Cricetulus griseus: one gene and its partners. The protein of the gene in region 2 interacts with the protein of the main gene of each other region in a pairwise test. Links are inferred from orthologs where the notes say so. Each region holds a gene or a part of one and is shown on either strand. Other genes may lie near its edges.

Evidence for each region.
Region 1: the proteins of Tns2 (region 2) and Kprp interact in binary tests that used the Homo sapiens proteins (3 or more experiments, as listed by UniProt). The two-hybrid records come from large-scale screens. The link is inferred for Cricetulus griseus from reciprocal best matches to the Homo sapiens genes TNS2 and KPRP.
Region 3: the proteins of Tns2 (region 2) and Otx1 interact in binary tests that used the Homo sapiens proteins (3 or more experiments, as listed by UniProt). The two-hybrid records come from large-scale screens. The link is inferred for Cricetulus griseus from reciprocal best matches to the Homo sapiens genes TNS2 and OTX1.

Annotation. Positions count from the first base shown.
Region 1 is NW_023276806.1:63,077,850-63,083,385, forward strand, and holds Kprp (keratinocyte proline-rich protein), read left to right. Parts: upstream 1-2,133; coding exon 2,134-4,086; downstream 4,087-5,536.
Region 2 is NC_048595.1:398,514,289-398,519,313, reverse strand, and holds the end of Tns2 (tensin-2), read right to left. Parts: intron 4,982-5,025; coding exon 4,856-4,981; intron 4,641-4,855; coding exon 4,548-4,640; intron 4,435-4,547; coding exon 4,357-4,434; intron 4,205-4,356; coding exon 4,127-4,204; intron 3,695-4,126; coding exon 3,526-3,694; intron 2,330-3,525; coding exon 2,261-2,329; intron 2,146-2,260; coding exon 2,116-2,145; intron 2,006-2,115; coding exon 1,867-2,005; 3' UTR 1,440-1,866; downstream 1-1,439. Other genes in the region: Spryd3 (SPRY domain-containing protein 3), read left to right, coding at 101-235. UniProt on the Homo sapiens protein: Tyrosine-protein phosphatase which regulates cell motility, proliferation and muscle-response to insulin. Phosphatase activity is mediated by binding to phosphatidylinositol-3,4,5-triphosphate (PtdIns(3,4,5)P3) via the SH2 domain.
Region 3 is NW_023276807.1:84,693,996-84,699,852, reverse strand, and holds the start of Otx1 (homeobox protein OTX1), read right to left. Parts: upstream 3,258-5,857; coding exon 3,161-3,257; intron 2,318-3,160; coding exon 2,166-2,317; intron 814-2,165; coding exon 1-813. UniProt on the Homo sapiens protein: Probably plays a role in the development of the brain and the sense organs. Can bind to the BCD target sequence (BTS): 5'-TCTAATCCC-3'.

The DNA of each region.
Region 1 (5,536 bases), on a different chromosome or scaffold from region 2:
GGTTGGAGCAGATACCCATTGACCCAGCTGTATCTGTTGCTTGTGGCACACTTACTCTTGAGAAGATGTTGGATATTTTGAACATCATTGGTTTTGTATGGTAAGATGGGTTTGTATGAAAGAATTGCTGTAGTCTCCATGACAACTGTAAAAAGGAGATTTAATTTTATCCATTTTGTAGAAGAGTAAATTCATACCTAGTTTGGTTATAAAGGTCCCCAAGCTGTAAATCATCAACATGAGACACTAGATGCAACTTTCGCCATTCTAAAGTTGACAGGATTTTAGACTTTAAACTCAATTGCTTTAAGTTAAGGGATGCTTCTGTCTTGTGAGAATTGGAGGCAAGGAGAAGGTAGGGCATGGGATCATTTTCCAGGAGACATGATACCTTCATGCTTCCTCACCACCTTCACCACTGGGTTCCGCTGGAATGGAGGGGGGAATTGATAGGGTGAAAATGGAAGAGGAAAACAATAATCTGCTTCTTCATAGCCTGGAAGCTTCAGCACTAAGGCAAGGCACTCCCAGCTCTGTAGGTGACTAGACGGACAGCACATGGGGAGGGAATTGGCTGGTGGAATGTTACCTTGGGCAGATGCCAACCAGCTGTCTCATGGTCTGAGCCAGACCCACAACTCTTTATATAAGCACAGCCCTCTGGCCAGATGCCTTAGCCTGAATGACTTTGAGCCTGCTGAAGAGGGTAAGTCTGGAAGCTTGGTCCTGGGATTGTGCTGGGGGTGATGTACAAGGGGTTCCCAGACTCAAAAGAATGATTAAGGGAGAACCTGGGGCAGAGGTGCATCAGTCTGAGGAGAAAAACCACCTAAGAAATATAAAACATATAGAATTTATGGGCTGTAAAGTGTATTTATCTTTGACAGCCCTGGTTTCTTCTCCAGGTACCATTTTCTTTTGTTAGGAACTTGTTTTCCATGGAGAAGATACATTGTTATTTATTTTGTGTGGATCACCCGCTCTAGGGAACACAGACAAACACTTGTAACAAACGGAAAATGTCTAGCTCTGTCTTCCAATAGAAGTATTTTTGGTATTTTGGGAGATTGTAAGAGGTGCTGTGTTGTATGGTTCTATTGCCAAATTAGGCCTGTGCTGTGCTGGTCACTGGGCTACCTGAACACAGGCAGGTGGCTCTGGAAAGAACAGCTGAGTGGGAGCTGCTGTGTTTTCATGTTACTAAGGGTAGTATAGGAGTGTATGCCTGAATGTCTTAAGTCTTGTTGTTATGACCTTACTATATAGCTCTATAAGTGTGCCTGAATGTCCTTACACAAAGCCTTGAATGTGACAAAGGATCTGCCAGTCTCTGGGTTACCTCAGTTTCACTAACTATCCTACATCTCATAAGGTCTGAGGAGAAAATGTTTCTGAAGCCAGCAGACTGTCACCCTCCAGATCACTAACAGCAGCAACCTGCCTGAGCAAATGCACATGTTGATCCCAAGACTAGTGTGTTTTGTATATGAAGTATAAATAAATTTGCCTATTTCTATGAGTGTCTATTTAAGTGAACTCACTTTAAAAAGATTGAATGCCAGGCAGCAAATATTAAGCTCTAGGACTGACATGTCCAGAATCTGCCTGAATCCTTTGCTTTTCAGTAGACTCTTTGATGTAATGTGAACCTAGATGATGCCTGTGTTTTTGTTTTTGTTTTTTTCCCTGTGCTCATTTTTACATACATGTGTGGGATGTGTGAGGAAATCCAGGCTTCCATGGGTGTGGAAGCCTCAGTTTGGGCTATGCATTGTAAGCAAGCTGTCACCTGTTATTCCCGTAGGACTATTTCCACCACCAGACTTTTTAAGTGTAGAGAATGTGCTTGTCAGCAGTGCTCTCTGGTGGCAGACTTTGGCATACATACTTTTATATCTAGCTGTACAGAATCCACCCTTTTTGGCAAAACGCATAGACAATGGTGACCAGCATGGGCTCCAGTTAAATTACTATCAGTAAGGATTCTTGGGTGAAGGTTGAGGGCGTATGAAGACAAGCCAGAGAAGATGTCAGGCTCCTGGCTCTGGACCCAAGCTCCTCTCTCCCAACTCTGAGCCTCTTGACCCTGGTTTCTCTACCCTCAGGTCTTGCTCACCCACCTACATCAGGACAATGTGTGACCAGCAGCAAATTCCGTGTTGTGTGCCGGTACCTCAGTGCTGTGTCAAGGGTTCCTCTTTTGGTCCCTCACAGTTTTCTTATGCCAACAACCCAGTGCTGGTCCAAGCTCCATGTGAGATGCAAGTTCTGCAATATGTTACACCAGGCCCAGTTCAAGTTTCCCAGACTCCATGCCAGTCGGGTACCACTGAAGTGAAGAGCCAGGCTCCGTGTCCATCCAAGAGCACTAAGGTTAAATGTCAGGCTCCATGTCAATCAAAGACCACCCAGGTGAAATGCCAGTCTAAGACCACTGAGGTAAAGTGCCAAGCTCCCTGCCAGACTCAGGTTTCCTGTGTTCAATGCCAGGCTCCATGTCAGTCTCAGGTTTCCTATGTGCAAGTCCCACAACCTCTTCAGACCTACTATGTGGAATGTGCTCCAGTATATTATACAGAAACTAGTTATGTGGAATATCCTGTTCCGACCTATGTGCCTGCTCCGACTCCTCGACCTGCCCGCACCTATGTAGAATGTCCCTCAGTGGGCCAGGGTCAGGGAAGTTTCTCCACTCAGGGCCAGTATCAGGGCTCCTATGGCAGCTGCACCTCTCAGTCACAGTCACGGGGTTCCTATAACTGTGGTGCACAGTCTCAGTCCCAGGCTTCCTACAGTCGCTGTGTACCCCAATTCCAATCAGGGCCCTCCTACACTGACTGTGGACCGCAGCGCCAGTCACAGGCTTCCTATGGCGGCTGTGCCTCCCAATTCCAGTCTCGAGCATCCTACACCAACTGCTCCTCCCAGCGTCGGTCTGGGGTTTCCTTTAGCACCTGTGCACCCCAATGCCAGGCTCAGGGCTCCTACGGAAGCTTCACTACTCAGCAGCGTCGGTCTCAGAGCACTAGCAGATGCCTCCCTCCTCGTCAGCTGCAGCCTTCTTACCGAAGCTGCTCTCCACCAAGACGTTCTGGGCCCGGTTACAGCAGCTGCCTGCCATCCCGATGCTCTTCAGGATCCTACAACTATTGCACCCCACCCCGCCGCTCAGAGCCAATCTATGGCAGCCCCTGTCCTCCTCGGGGCCGCCCTTCGGGCTGTTCTCAAAGATGTGGACCCAAGTGCAGGGTAGAGATTTCATCACCCTGCTGCCCCAGGCAGGTTCCCCCACAGAGGTGTCCTGTCCAGATTCCTCCCATCAGAGGAAGATCCCAGAGCTGTGTCCGGCAACCTTCTTGGGGTGTCTCCTGCCCAGATCTAAGGCCACGTGCAGAGTCACAGCCATTCCCAAGGTCTTGCGGGCCACAGCGTCGCAACTGGTCTCCAGAACCATCATGGCAGCGGTGCCCAGTTCCTGCACCACGTCCTTGTCCAGAGCCACAGCGTCGTGACCTGTCTCCAGAACCATCATGGCAGAGGTGCCCAATTCCTGCACCACGTCCATGTCCACGTCCAGAGCCATGCCCAAGTCCAGAACCCCGCCCATGTCCTCCACTGCGGCGATTTTCAGAACCATGTCTATATCCAGAACCGTGTTCAGCTCCTCAACCAGCACCGCGTCCAGCACCACGTCCAGTGCCGCGCCCGCGCCCAGTTCACTGTGAGAACCCAGAACCACGCCCGCACCCACAGCCTTGTCCATATCCTGAGCCCATACCTCATCCTGAGCGCTGCTCCAGCCCAGAGCCTTGTGGGGAGCCCATGCGTTGTCCCAGTCCTTGCTCAGGCCCTATTCCAGTCCCCTACCACCAAGAACTAGGCTGTCATGAATCTAACCCATGCCGCCTGGATTCTGAAGGCCCTAGCCCATATAGCTGCAACCAGGGGCAAGAGAGTAACGACAACTGTAGAGCTGATGATGTCTTTCCAGGGCCACAGGGTCTAGGTGGTTGTGGAGACCAAGGAAACACCAATGGTGGAATGAAAGGTGGGGCTTATGCTGGAGCAAAGGGTGCTTACTTTTAAAACAAAATGCAGCTAAAAGCCCTTGCCTCGGGCTCTCTAGAATATTTTCTCTTCTCTTCTGGGTTAAATCTTTCCACAGACATCGTGATGCTCCCTGCTTCAAAACTGTTGTACAAACTCCTTGCATGTCATCTCACGCTCCATACCTGAGTCTCAGACATCATTCCAGCCTCATGTCTCACTCCTCCTCTGCACTCAGCTTTAATTCTAACCAGACCAGCTTGGCCACCAGGGCACTCCTTGGGTGTTCCTCTTGACATTCCCCAGATGCTCTGGCCTCTGCAGAGACTCCCTTGGCCTGAACCATTTCTCACATATTTCCCAGGGTCCAAAATTGTACCTGTCTTTTTATACCTCTCCCTTGAAGCCTTTTGTTGTTGCTTCTTGTTCCCACCCATAGGAGCCTATTCTAACTTCCTTGAGTTCATTGCCCATAACTCCATCCATTTAGCAAGAGCTTTGCAGCACTTCTGAATTCATTTCTCTTTGCAGTCATTGCCTTTTCTGCCCAACTACATTGTAAACTCTCATTCTAGTGGAGTCAGTATATCTTTAAATCTCTGTGCCCATCTTAGGTCAGGTAATAGTTGATCAGGGTTGTGGTTGGCAGCCTGAACCATGTTCTGTCCTTTGGGGGCAAGAGGAGGATGCATAATAATAAAAACTGGATGTGTTCACGGTTTGAGTCCTGAGTAATAATGTCTGCTCTTTATTTGATAACAGCTTGCTGAGATGGTTGATGTCTATCTAATCATGGTAAAAATACATGTAAAATTTATTAGCATAGCCATGCCAGTGGGATTAATTATGCTTGTGTTGTTGTATTACATTTACCACCATTCATCTATCCTATAGGGAAAAAATCTCGATACCTCATCCCACTTCCCTTTAGCCTCTACAGACCACCGCTGCGTTTTCTACCTTTTAAAATTTGACACTACATGTGTCACAGATAGACTCAAATGGCATTTGCAAATTTTAGTTCACTTAGCATCATGTTCTCCAGGTTCATCTTTGCTTTAGCATGTATCAGCTATTAAGGCAGCATGACATTATGTTCCATGTAGATGCTGTGCTTTATGTGTTCAGCAATGAATGGCTAACCATTTGGCTATTATCAGTGATGGTCCAATCAACACCAGTATAAAATACTTCTTTGAGAGTATGATTTCAATTCTTTTGAGTAGATACCAAGAAATGGAGTTCCTATGTCATATGCTAAGACAAGTGGTGCCATTGCTTTCCACAGTGGTAACATCATCCACAGCCCCACCCCCAGCAGCATCATTCTCAGCCCCACCCCCAGCAGCATCCACAGTCCCACCCCCAGCAGCATCATTCTCAGCCCCACCCCCAGCAGCATCATCTCAGCCCCACCCCCAGCAGCATCATTCTCAGCCCCACCCCCAGCAGCATCATTCTCAGCCCCACCCCCAGCAGCATCATCCAC
Region 2 (5,025 bases):
AACTCCAATGGTAGGAGTTGGGGGTGTTGGGCTTGAGTCATTCTCATATCCCTAGGGAAGAGACCAGAGTCCACCCTCTTCTCTCCACCTCCACTACCAGGTTTTCTTTACCCGGAATGGCAAGATCATTGGGAAGAAGGATGCCGTTGTGCCTTCTGGAGGCTTCTTTCCCACCATTGGAATGCTCAGTTGTGGGGAGAAGGTGAAAGTAGACCTGCACCCATTAAGTGGCTAGAGGCTTCACCTGCACATCTGCCCCTTTCCTTCTGCAGCCTCCCTCCAGTCTTCCCCAGGATTTGCTCACCATCAGGCCCTGGGAGGACATTACCCTTCCCCTACCAGCTCAGTCAGAGCCCAATCAGGCTGGACCTTCTGTCTCTGGGCCTGAGCCTGTGGTGATAGGAATGGGTATAGAACAGTGTTGATATATGGGAGGGTCCCCCTTGCTTTGGTCTGTGGGCACCTGGATCTCCTTATACCTTCCTGGACCCTGTGAGAGTTGGGAGAAGTGTAAGCCCACCTGCTATTTGGGCCGAGGGTGGAGTAGAGGTAGCCTGTCCTTATTCACCACATAATCCCCCTGAAACCTCTTTTCACCCAGTTGCTGCTGTCTCCCCCTGGCTGGGCTAGGGGGCCTGTCTTGGCTATCTCTCTTTTCACTGGCTGCTGTCCTAAATCACATCTAGGGTCTTCATTCTTTCCTTTGAGAGACAGCCCCGCTCCCACACTCAAGCATCACATAAAGTCGAGCCTGGCTCCCTACCTGCCCACAGAGTGCTCAGTATCTGTGTGAGAGAAAGGCCAGTCTGTGTGGCAGTGGGGGACTGTAGCCTTTGCTCCCATCTCCTTGTCTGCACTCTTCCTCAAGGCACCCCTAGCCCTGGCTCACCTAGATGCGGCTAAGGCACCAGGGCATGTGTTTTGTTGTGGCTGTTGCTCAGAGCTGCAACTTGGCCCCTTATGTCCCTTCCCCTGCCCACTCCCTGACCCTGTGCCCCAGCTTGCTGCTTGTGCCAGTTGACTGTTTTTGCTTCAGTGTATGATTCTAGCGTCTACATAGACCCCTCACCTGCAACCAATCCCCCCATCTTCTCCCCCCATTTCAGGGGCTCTTGGTCTCAGTTTGCACAGTGGGTAGGACTTGGGGGGTGCTATTGTGCTGCTGGGGCTCCTCTGCCCCTCCTTCCGGCCCCTGCACTATGATGTATGAAATGTATGTACAGACCAGAGATGTTTATACACCCAATAAAGATGGAGTTTCCATATTTATCAGGACGGACAGAAAGGGAATCCTTTCCAGTCAAAGGGCCCGGGCCAGCAGGTAGAGACAGCTGAGGGCAGATGGCCCCAGGGCAGTTGTGGGACACAGGCCAGCAGGGGCATGTCTCTGAGAGAGATGTACGTTTTTCTTCTTCCTATGAAGAAGTAATCAACTCCTCAAAAGTTTATAGAAATTCTTTATTAGTACACAAAAATAGACTCTCTTTTTTCCTCTGTTTATGTGATCCCACTCTGGTCTCGTTCAGAGGGGAGGCAAAAGCTCCCACACTTCTCCCCTTTCCCTCCATGATGGGACCTCCAGCTGGGTGGAGCTGGCAGGGCCATTCCCCACCAGGCCTCCACTACTGATACCGCCTCACCCCTTACACCTGTCTCTGCCATCTGGTCACATGCCAGGTCATCTCATGGGCCCACTCACTTAGCTTAGCAGGCAAGGGCAAGAACAGTGGCCCAGGCTGGTGCCACACTCTCTTTCATAGGGAGGACGCTGGCTCCTAGGGCTCCTGGATTCAGGCCAAGACAGTGAGAGCTGTGGGTGCTGGGAGAGTGCAGTGTTGATGTGGGCTCAGAGATTGCAGCTTTCCTTCATTTTCTCTGGCCCAGTAGAACTTTGGTGATAAAGGTGACAATGGCATTTGCTGGTTGGTCTGGGTCAAGCTCCGCAAAGAGGTGACACACATTTTCCCAGGGGCTTCCTGGTTTTTTGGCCACGAAACCAAAGATCCTACAGGGACAAAGCCAGGGAGGACCTTTATATTCCTTCGCCAGGAGGATGAAGCTGGCCGTGTGGGTCAGCTCATGCCTGTCTAGGGTTGGGCGCACAAGGAGACTTACTTGGACGTGGTTCCATCTGGGTTGGTCCATCTGTAAAGAGAGAGAGCCCTGAAGAAGTACAGCCGAGGGCACAGCTCCTGAAGGGTGAGCTGGAGCTGAGGGTGGGAGGACCATAGGTTGGGAAAGGGATCCAAGGAAGGCTCACCTGCGGTCCTGGGGGTCAGTGCTAGAGAAGGTGATGCTGTTCACTGGGTAATGACGACGAAAGAAGAGCCTGTGAGGAGTAGGTTGGAGAAGGAAAGTCACACCTCTAATCCAGGTTTTGGGCTTAAGAGATGGCTCAGAGATTAAGAGCACTAGCTGTTCTTTCAGAGGTCCTGAGTTCAATTCCCAGCAACCACATGATGGCTCACAACCATCTATAGTGGGATCTGATGCCCTCTGAGGGCATACATGCAGATAGAGCACATTAAGTAAATAACATAAAAAAAGAAAAGTCAGGTTTCACTAGTGGTGGTGGTGCACACCTTTAATCCCAACACTCCGAGGGCAGAAGCAGGCAGATCTCTGTGAGTTTAGGCCAGTCTGGGCTACAAAGTCAGTTCCAGGGCAGTCAGGGCTACACAGAGAAACCCCATCTTGAAAACCCAGGAGGGGGGACAGGGAAAAAAGAAAAAGAAATCCAAGTTTTGGAGTTGGAGAGATGGCTCAGAGGTTTAGAACACTGGCTGATCTTCCAAAGGACCTGGGTTCAATTCCCAGCACCCACATGGCAGCTCACAACTATCTGTAACTCCAGTTCAGGGGGTGCAACATTCTCACACAGATAGGCATGCAGGCAAAACATCAATGCACATAAAATAAAAGTAAATAAGTTAATTTTTAGAAAGAAAGAAACAAAGATTTCTGGGCTGGGGAGGTGGCCCAGAGGTTAGAGTACTAGCCATAGAGAATGAGTTTGAATCCCCAGGACCCATAATTCCAGCCTCAGAAAGCAGAGACAGAGTCCCAGGAGCAAGCTAGCTAGCAAGACGAGCTGCATCTCTGACTTCTGGGTTTGATTGAGAGAACCCTGTCTCAATAAGGTGAAAGAGAGATCCAAAAATATCTTTTTTTTTTTGAGACAGACTTTCTCTATGTAGCTTTGTAGCCTATGCTGCCAAAAAGATTTTTTCCCCAAGGTTTTTCAAGGTTTCTCTGTGTAGTCCTGCTTATTATGGAACTCAATATATAGATCAGGCTGGCCTCAAAATCAGAGATCCACCTGCCTCTGCCTCCTGAGTACTGGTATTAATGTCATATGCCACCACTACCTGGGACCAGAAAGATACTTAATTACCAAACTGGAGCCTCCACACATAAATGCAAACATGTATGTACACATAACACACACACACAAAGACAAAGAAAAATCCAGGCTCCCAAAGTCCTTCTTTGGGACTCTAAAGAGGCTGGTGCCCCGGGGCTCACTTTCTCTGGTTGTCTGTCAGTGTGATGCCTTGAGCTGAAACCTTGAAGTGGACAATGGCTGGTACTGGGTTGGGGCTGCAGCTCAGAGCTGCAGAACTGGCCCTGGCCACAGCTTGAGGGCCAGTGAGTGACTCTGTCTCCACGGAGGTCAGGTAGAGCACACTACAGGCTAAAGAGACAGGAAGAAGGTTGATGAGCTAGTATGGCTGTGCCAGAACCAAGATCTGCCACCTTTGAGTCACCCTTTAGCTTCTTGTCTAATATAATCTTCTCATGCTTTTCCCTGAGAGTGCTATCTGAATGCACTAGAATCACACACTGACAAGTTAGAAAGGCAACTCCCAGACTCCAAGGGATTTACAGCCAGCAACAGTGCAAGTTCTTTCCTCTGCTGCAGCTGTGACTCCTGTGTTGTAAACCCTGAGAACTTAGCCTGTGACCCCTTCCCTGCCTCCTGAAAATGTGGGCTCCTCTGCTTTTGTGGGGTTAAATGTATCTGCTGGGTCTACCTTCTACAGTCCTATCAATGCCTCTCCCTGTATCTGGAGTCTACAGTGTCCTCTTGACCACCAGGGAGAGGGAGGGGAAGCGAGTCTCTTACCTGCTCCCTGACGCAGGAGGTCTGCTGCTGTGCTCATGTTGGTGGGAACTGGAGCCTCTGGGGTTTCTTCCAGAGGATCTGAGGAGATGAGCACCACCAAGGAAGGTCAAGAGGGAGAGCCTTCCCTAGGTGCTAGTGGACTCCCTTAGCCACCATAAGGGAAGGGGTGGGGAGACAGGACCTCTGTATTTGGCTGTAGGAGTGATGAGAGCTGAGGAGACATTACACACCTTTACTGGGAATTCGAAGACAGCAGGGTAGGGAAATGGGAGAGATGGAGTGTTGCGAGACCAGGGCAGAGAGGCTGCCTGCAAAGGGAGGGGAAAAAATCCTGAAGGGCTTGTGGATAGCCTTCTATCTTCGCCCTCTTGAGGCCTCTCCCTTAACCAACCCCCTAGAACCCTCTGACACTGTTTCTCACCAAAATAGGGCTCAGTAGGACAACCCTTGATCTTCACGCCTTTGGGCCCAGTCTCAATGAGGAAGTGGCGCACCAACTGCTCTGAGGGGTCTCCTGAGAGGAGGGAGGGATGGTGAAAGTGAAGCTTTACTGAATTCCAGATTCTCAGTTTCTCCCCTCCCCCTCCTCAGGAACTCTTTCCTGAGCCGGGAGCAAGGGGACTTGCTTTGCCCCTACCCTTCATGGAGATGTCCTGTGCATCTCTCTACTTTTGGCTCTGCAGCTTCTCCCCTCTCCACACCCATTCCCTCAGTTTGAGGATGCTGTACCTTTTAAGGGCTGGGCGCTGGGTGGGGGTGTGGCCACTTTGAGGGCTAGCCCATAGGCTCCTTGGAATGAGTGGCTGTCCCTGATCAGGAAGGCCCCAGGGTCCTTGTCTTTCAGCAGGGCAATGGCTGCAGGGCAAAAGTCAGAGATGGCTGGCAGCCCCACACAGCCC
Region 3 (5,857 bases), on a different chromosome or scaffold from region 2:
GACCTGGAACCGCCACGAGGCTTGGTCCTTATAGTCCAGACAGTCGGGAGAGTTGAAGTTGAGTTTCCAGGCAGAGGAAGCAGCGGCAGCGGCAGGCTCCTTATAATCCAAGCAGTCGGCAGAGTTGAAGGCGAGCCCAGAGCCTCCATAACCTTGGTGATGGTGGTGGTGGTGATGGTGGTGGTGGTGGCCTGAAGATTGGCTCAGTGGGTGGTGTGCGTGCGGGTGGTGGTGGTGATGGCCAGCCATGGAGGAGGGTGCCATGGGGCTAAGCTGGTGCGGGTGGTGATGAGAGTGCATGGGCGCTAAGTAGGAGCTGCAGTCTACACCGCCAAAGTAAGAAGAAGAGGGCGCGGGGTAGCCCTGGCCGTAGCTTCCGCCCTGGCCATAGGACATGGGGTAAGAGGCCGCAGCAGTGGCGGCACCTGCGGCTACCGAGCGTTGCATACAGGAGGCGTTGCTCGGTGCGCCCAGTGGCTCTGGCACGGACACGGATGGCGGTGCTGAGCCTGGCGAGATGGAGGCCGGGCTCCAGATGGACGAAGCAGTAGGCGTACTCAGAGAGGACGCGGCTGCCACCGGGTTCCCACCCAGGCCCGCGGCCGCAGCAGCCGCGGGATTGGCGGAGGCACTGGACGCTGAGCTAGACGAAGAGGCCGAGCTAGACACGGCAGGCGGCGTGAACTGGCCGCTACTCTCCGAGCCCGAGCTCTCGCGCACTGGAGACGACTTCTTCTTGACCGGCCGGCTTTTCGTTCCGTTCCCGCTCTGCTGCTGCTGGCGGCACTTGGCACGGCGGTTCTTGAACCAAACCTGCAGTGAGCAGGGTGAAGGAGAAGGGATCAGGGGGCTGGCTAGTGGAGCTCACAGCTCCTCCGCCCCTCGGACTCACACCCCGCCCAGGATCTCAGGGACCTCTCAATCCCAGCCTCTACCCCTCCCAGTCTCTGGCCCTGCCAGACCCTGTCCCCTCCCCCGCACGTGCTAGGTCCCCAGCTCTGGCTCCCTCCCCCATCCTTCTGCGCAAAGCCCCCAGTCAGCCTCCACCGCAGGAGGGATGCGCACCTCCCCAAGCCCAGCGCAACTCTGCCCAAGGGCGGAACGTTTGCGTCTGTCCAGCCAGAAGTTCAGCCATCTCTAAGCTGTTGCAGTTGGCTGCTTCCCCGCAGCCCCGTTTTAGTTTGGAGGCCCTGTTTTCCAAGAACAGAGCTCAGGAAACAGCGGAGAGTACAGAACATCGGAGAGTAGGGCAGTCACCAAGTCTGGGGCCCGAGGGGTTTCACCGAGTCGGCTCCTGGAGACTGGAGTTGGGCAGGGCAAATATTTGGGTGGGAACAGAAGCAAGGCTGGAGGCTGAACTGAACGGAAGCAGTACTCCAGTACTGGGATTCTCGTGAAGGAAGCCTGGGTGAGGTTTCCTTGGGCCTTTTGGCTCCAGGTGGGGTACCAAATGGAACGATAAGTCATAAATTCGCACTCCTTTTGGAGGGGCCCGGACACGGGGCATTGCATTCCCAGTCCCTTCTCGAGCCTTCAGGGAAAGAAGTTGAGACAAAAGACTCTCGAGGAAGAGTTTTAGACTAACTCAGAACTCCTATTTTCTGAACTGTTTCATTTTAGAAACAGTAAACCCAGCATCTGGATTTTGCACTCGGCCTCCACTCGGCTGGAGAAAACTCCAAACCATACCGACTCCACCCTCAGAGCACACTCCAAGGCAGATTGCGCTAGGCTGTGACCAAGTTCCATCTTGCACTTTTAGAATCCCCAGGACTCAAGGGAAGGGTAAGAAAGACAAGAGCGGAAGGAGAGCTAAGGCTCAGTAGGAAAACGCCAAATTCTGTTGTAGCCAGGAAGCAGGGGCCATTATCTAACCTTCTGGGAAAGTTACACCCGGGGGACACGGCTGGCCTTTCCAAAATCCAAAAACCGACTTTCAACAATGAAAGCGCCCTGGGGACAAGGGCTAGAGAGATGTTGGGCTCTAAGCCATTACTTTTTAAAATGTTACCCCCCTTTAGCTGACTGAAGCCCAGCACTAGGGGGAGTTAGAGAGGGGCTGTCCAGTCAGTGAATGGGCCCCAACACCAGATGGCCCAGGTCGGATCTTCCCCGACCGCTCCTAGCGCCCCTACCCTAATCCTAGAGTCCCAAAGACCACGCACCTGGACTCTGGACTCTGGCAGGTTGATCTTGAGCGCCACCTCCTCTCGCATGAAGATGTCCGGGTAGCGAGTCTTTGCGAAAAGGGCCTCCAACACGTCCAGCTGTGAACGCGTGAAGGTGGTGCGTTCCCGTCGCTGCTTCCGCGGGGTGGCTGTGGGGACATACAAGGGCACCTGGAGTCAGCAGTGGACCTCGAGGACTGGAGCTAGAGGCCACACGCAGGTCTTCTGGTAGGTCCAGAACCCTGCCATGGAAAGGAAAGGCCGACCTCCGCGCAAAAGCAAACTTCCCTGCCCACAGGTGGGGCAAAGTGTATAAATTGGGCTAGAGGCTCCTGTCTGAAAGAAACATCAGGGCCTCAGCCCTCCTTGTCTCTCAGATAAAAAACAAAGCCATCCCCTCCTCATCTCCCTAAGCCCACTTCTGGCTGAAAGGTAGGAAGTAGAACAGAGGTAGGTAGAAACAGGACCTGGGAAAGCTTTCCAAGTGAATAAATTCAAGCAAAGAAGTAGGATCCAGAAAATAAATTCGGGGTTCAGTTGGAGTCGTCTGCCACCACGGAAGAGCTGGGTCAGGTCCCTGGTCTCTAGGGCACTCTGACTAGGGAGAAAGAGCTCTGCTTCTCAAGGCAGCTAGACATAAGGGAAGTTTGGCTGTTTACATTAGGGCCTATCGAGTCCAGATTCCTCGTGAAATGTTTGGGCGGGCAAGATTTTATTTTTTTAAAAAAGCAACCGGTGGGAAATACGTCGGTGGACAAACATGCTTTCTCTAGCATGTGAGACCACAACAGGAGCAGGCACCACAAGCTCAAAAGTTGTAGGTCACAGTTTCTAAACTCAAACCGGAGAGCCTGTAGCAGATCTGGGCAACAGACACAGAGATAATCATATCCCTGGGCCTGTTTGGGGACTGTGTGGGCTCAAACGTTAAAAGCTGGAATCCCCCAATATTTGCACAGGCTTGGGGGTAGGGACATAGGGCCACCGCTCACCAGGATAGCCCACAGAGGGGTGTAGGAGGTCCATGGCAGGGCCAGCTAGGCCCAGCCCGTTCATGCCGTATGGGGGTTGTTTGAGGTAAGACATCATGCTAACTGCCGGGTGGAGGCGCCCCGACGGATCCAGGGGGCCTGGGGCCAGGAGCAGTTCAGGGCTCCCACTTCGAAGTCCTTCAAGCTGTTGCTTCTGGGGGCCTGGCCTAAGGAGACAGGAGACACATGGAAACCGTCACCCGCAGTCACTTTGGCTTTCAGTTCCTATAATCCTAGAATGGGGAGGGGGGCAGGCTAGGAACTTAACAGGGCAGGCAACCCAAGAAATTTCTCCTCCAAGCTCAGCAAGCCGGCTTCTTAGAAAAGTAAACTTTCCCCACATCGTTCCTTCCTCTTTTAGGGCTTGACAAGGGCCAAAGACACTCCTTGAGTGTCAACAGGAAAGAAAACTTAAAAGCGCGATCAGGCCGAGGAGGTGAGAGCCGGGACCGGGGAGGGTGCAAAATCCCAAGTGTAGTCTTTTTTTTTTAGTGCTGCGGAAGCAATTTGCTCAAGCAAATGTTCACTTGGCGCCGGGATGGCAGGCCGTACAGAGCGTACGTACCGGGTTATTTTGTTTAAGTTTCAAATGTTTTTGAAAGAGGGACAAAACCGCTGGCACTACAGAGGTCCAAGGTTAGTACCCCTTGGATCGCCCAGGCAACTGCCCATTTTGGTCACATCATTCCTTCAGAGATCTCCAGAGCAGCCCCCTCCCCCAGAGTCCCAATCACCATTCTATCTGACCTCTCTGGGCCCCTGACGCTAGGAGATGGGTGAACCGGAATTTCAACGCACTTCTAGGGTAGATGTGGCCCAGGCCCGGGTGAGGCGGCGAGAAGATGCCAAAGGCGCCACAGTAGAAGTGGCAGTTTCAAGAAGCCGCCCAAGGTCAGGGGTGCCTCAAAGACGGTCACCCGTCCTCCTAAGCCCACGCAGGCCCGACCTTCTTTCTACCAAGTCCGAGAGAGCACACCGAGTCCCACCAGGGTCTGATAAAGGATGACCAGCCCAGCGGCTCAAAGCATGCTGGGGAGTTCAGAAGCCAGAGCACCCTGGATCGCGTGGGCTCCTCGCCGTCCTCTCCTGAACTCGGTGGAGAGCAGAGAACTAGGCCTCAAGTCGGAAAGCTCCCGCACACCCAAGCTGGGAGCGCTAGGCTCGGCCGAAGACACTGCGAGCCCCTGGCGCTCTTCTCCAGCGGAAGAAGGGGTTCTGGGGGGGTAGGGCTGGGACCCGAGAGGGGGGCTTCTAGCTACACCCGGCTTTACAGGGAGCCCAGGGTGGGAACTCAGGGAAAAAGGAGGCAGGACTTAAGTAGCTTTCCCATCCCAACTCCAACCCCTGCTTCGGTCCTTGGGGTCCCGCGGCCTGGACTAAGGGAGACCAGCAGGCGCGGAAGGCGGACGGAACCACAAGGGAAACAGCGCACTTGGGCCGGAGAACCACAGGCCACCAGCCGCCGCGGTTCTGCGAAGGTGCTGCGTGAGTTTTCGAATACTTAGATCTAACTTAGCACCCCAGCTCCGCAGCTTCGGAGGAGGCGGGGGAGGGGTGCCCGGCTCAGCAGAGGCCTAGGGTTCTCAGCACAGCCAAGGGGGTGCCCGGCCATTCACCCCAGCCCCGCCCACCTGCCGGGGATCTGGGGGAGCGGGGGTCGATTCGAGGAAGAGGAGGCGAAGGGAGCCAACACCGTCCCCGGGCAGGGCGGCGCGCGGCCCCTCGGCTCCCTCCTTACCTGCCCTCCGCTGCCGGGGCTGTTCACCATCTACCTCGTGCCCTCAGCAAGACCCTCCGGGCAGCCAACCTGCAAAACAGAGCTGCACAGGTATTACCCCGGCGGCGGGTCTAGGACCCCCGCATTCCTTCTTTCCCCAACTTCCCTATTCCCGTCTCCTGCTTTTTCCAGGAGCTCTGTGCGTGTTTCCCCAGGTTTCACATTATTGCACAAATACTTTGTTTGCAAAGTCCCACATGCTTTTCCTCCCAAGACCTGGCCTCAACCGGGACGGGGTGGGGGGGCGGTGTTCGAGGGACAGAGTTAGGTGGTGGTTCGCGGTGGCCGCTGCACTCCCGGTGCAACATGGAGGCGGTAGAGACTGAAGAAATCCTGCGTAGTCACTTGGCAAACTAAATAAATCAAGCAATTTACCTTGTCGGAGTGGCTTGTCTTGCTCGGTTGTTTAGGTGATTGGAAATGTAGCCTGATGAAGATTGATCACCTTTCTACTGCCCTCCCCGGGTATGAGAACGCGAGGCAAGTGCGTAACGGGGCAAGGCCGCCAATAGGGGGCCTAGAGAGGGCTGAGTGACAGGGAGCCGGGCAATGGCAGCGCTAGCCCGGGTTACCTCCGCGCGCCCCCGCCCTCCCCCGCCCCCCTCCCCCCGCCCTCCCCGCGCGCCAGCCCCGCCCCGGTCGCGCGCTAACTCTGGGGCTCCGGTGGCAAATTCCGCTCAGAGCAAGTCTAGGAGGGAGAAGGCAGCGCTGGAGTCTCGGGAGCAGAGGGGGCCCCGGGTCCCGAGGCACGCCTGGGGGCCCCCGCCCTCCTCTCACCCAGGCTGCGCTACGAAGGAGTGGCAGAAAGGTGCTGGGTAACCGGTTCCTGGTCGCGCGCGCGCCGCCGGGCTTCGCAGCCGGGGTGTGGGCGCGAGGCTTCC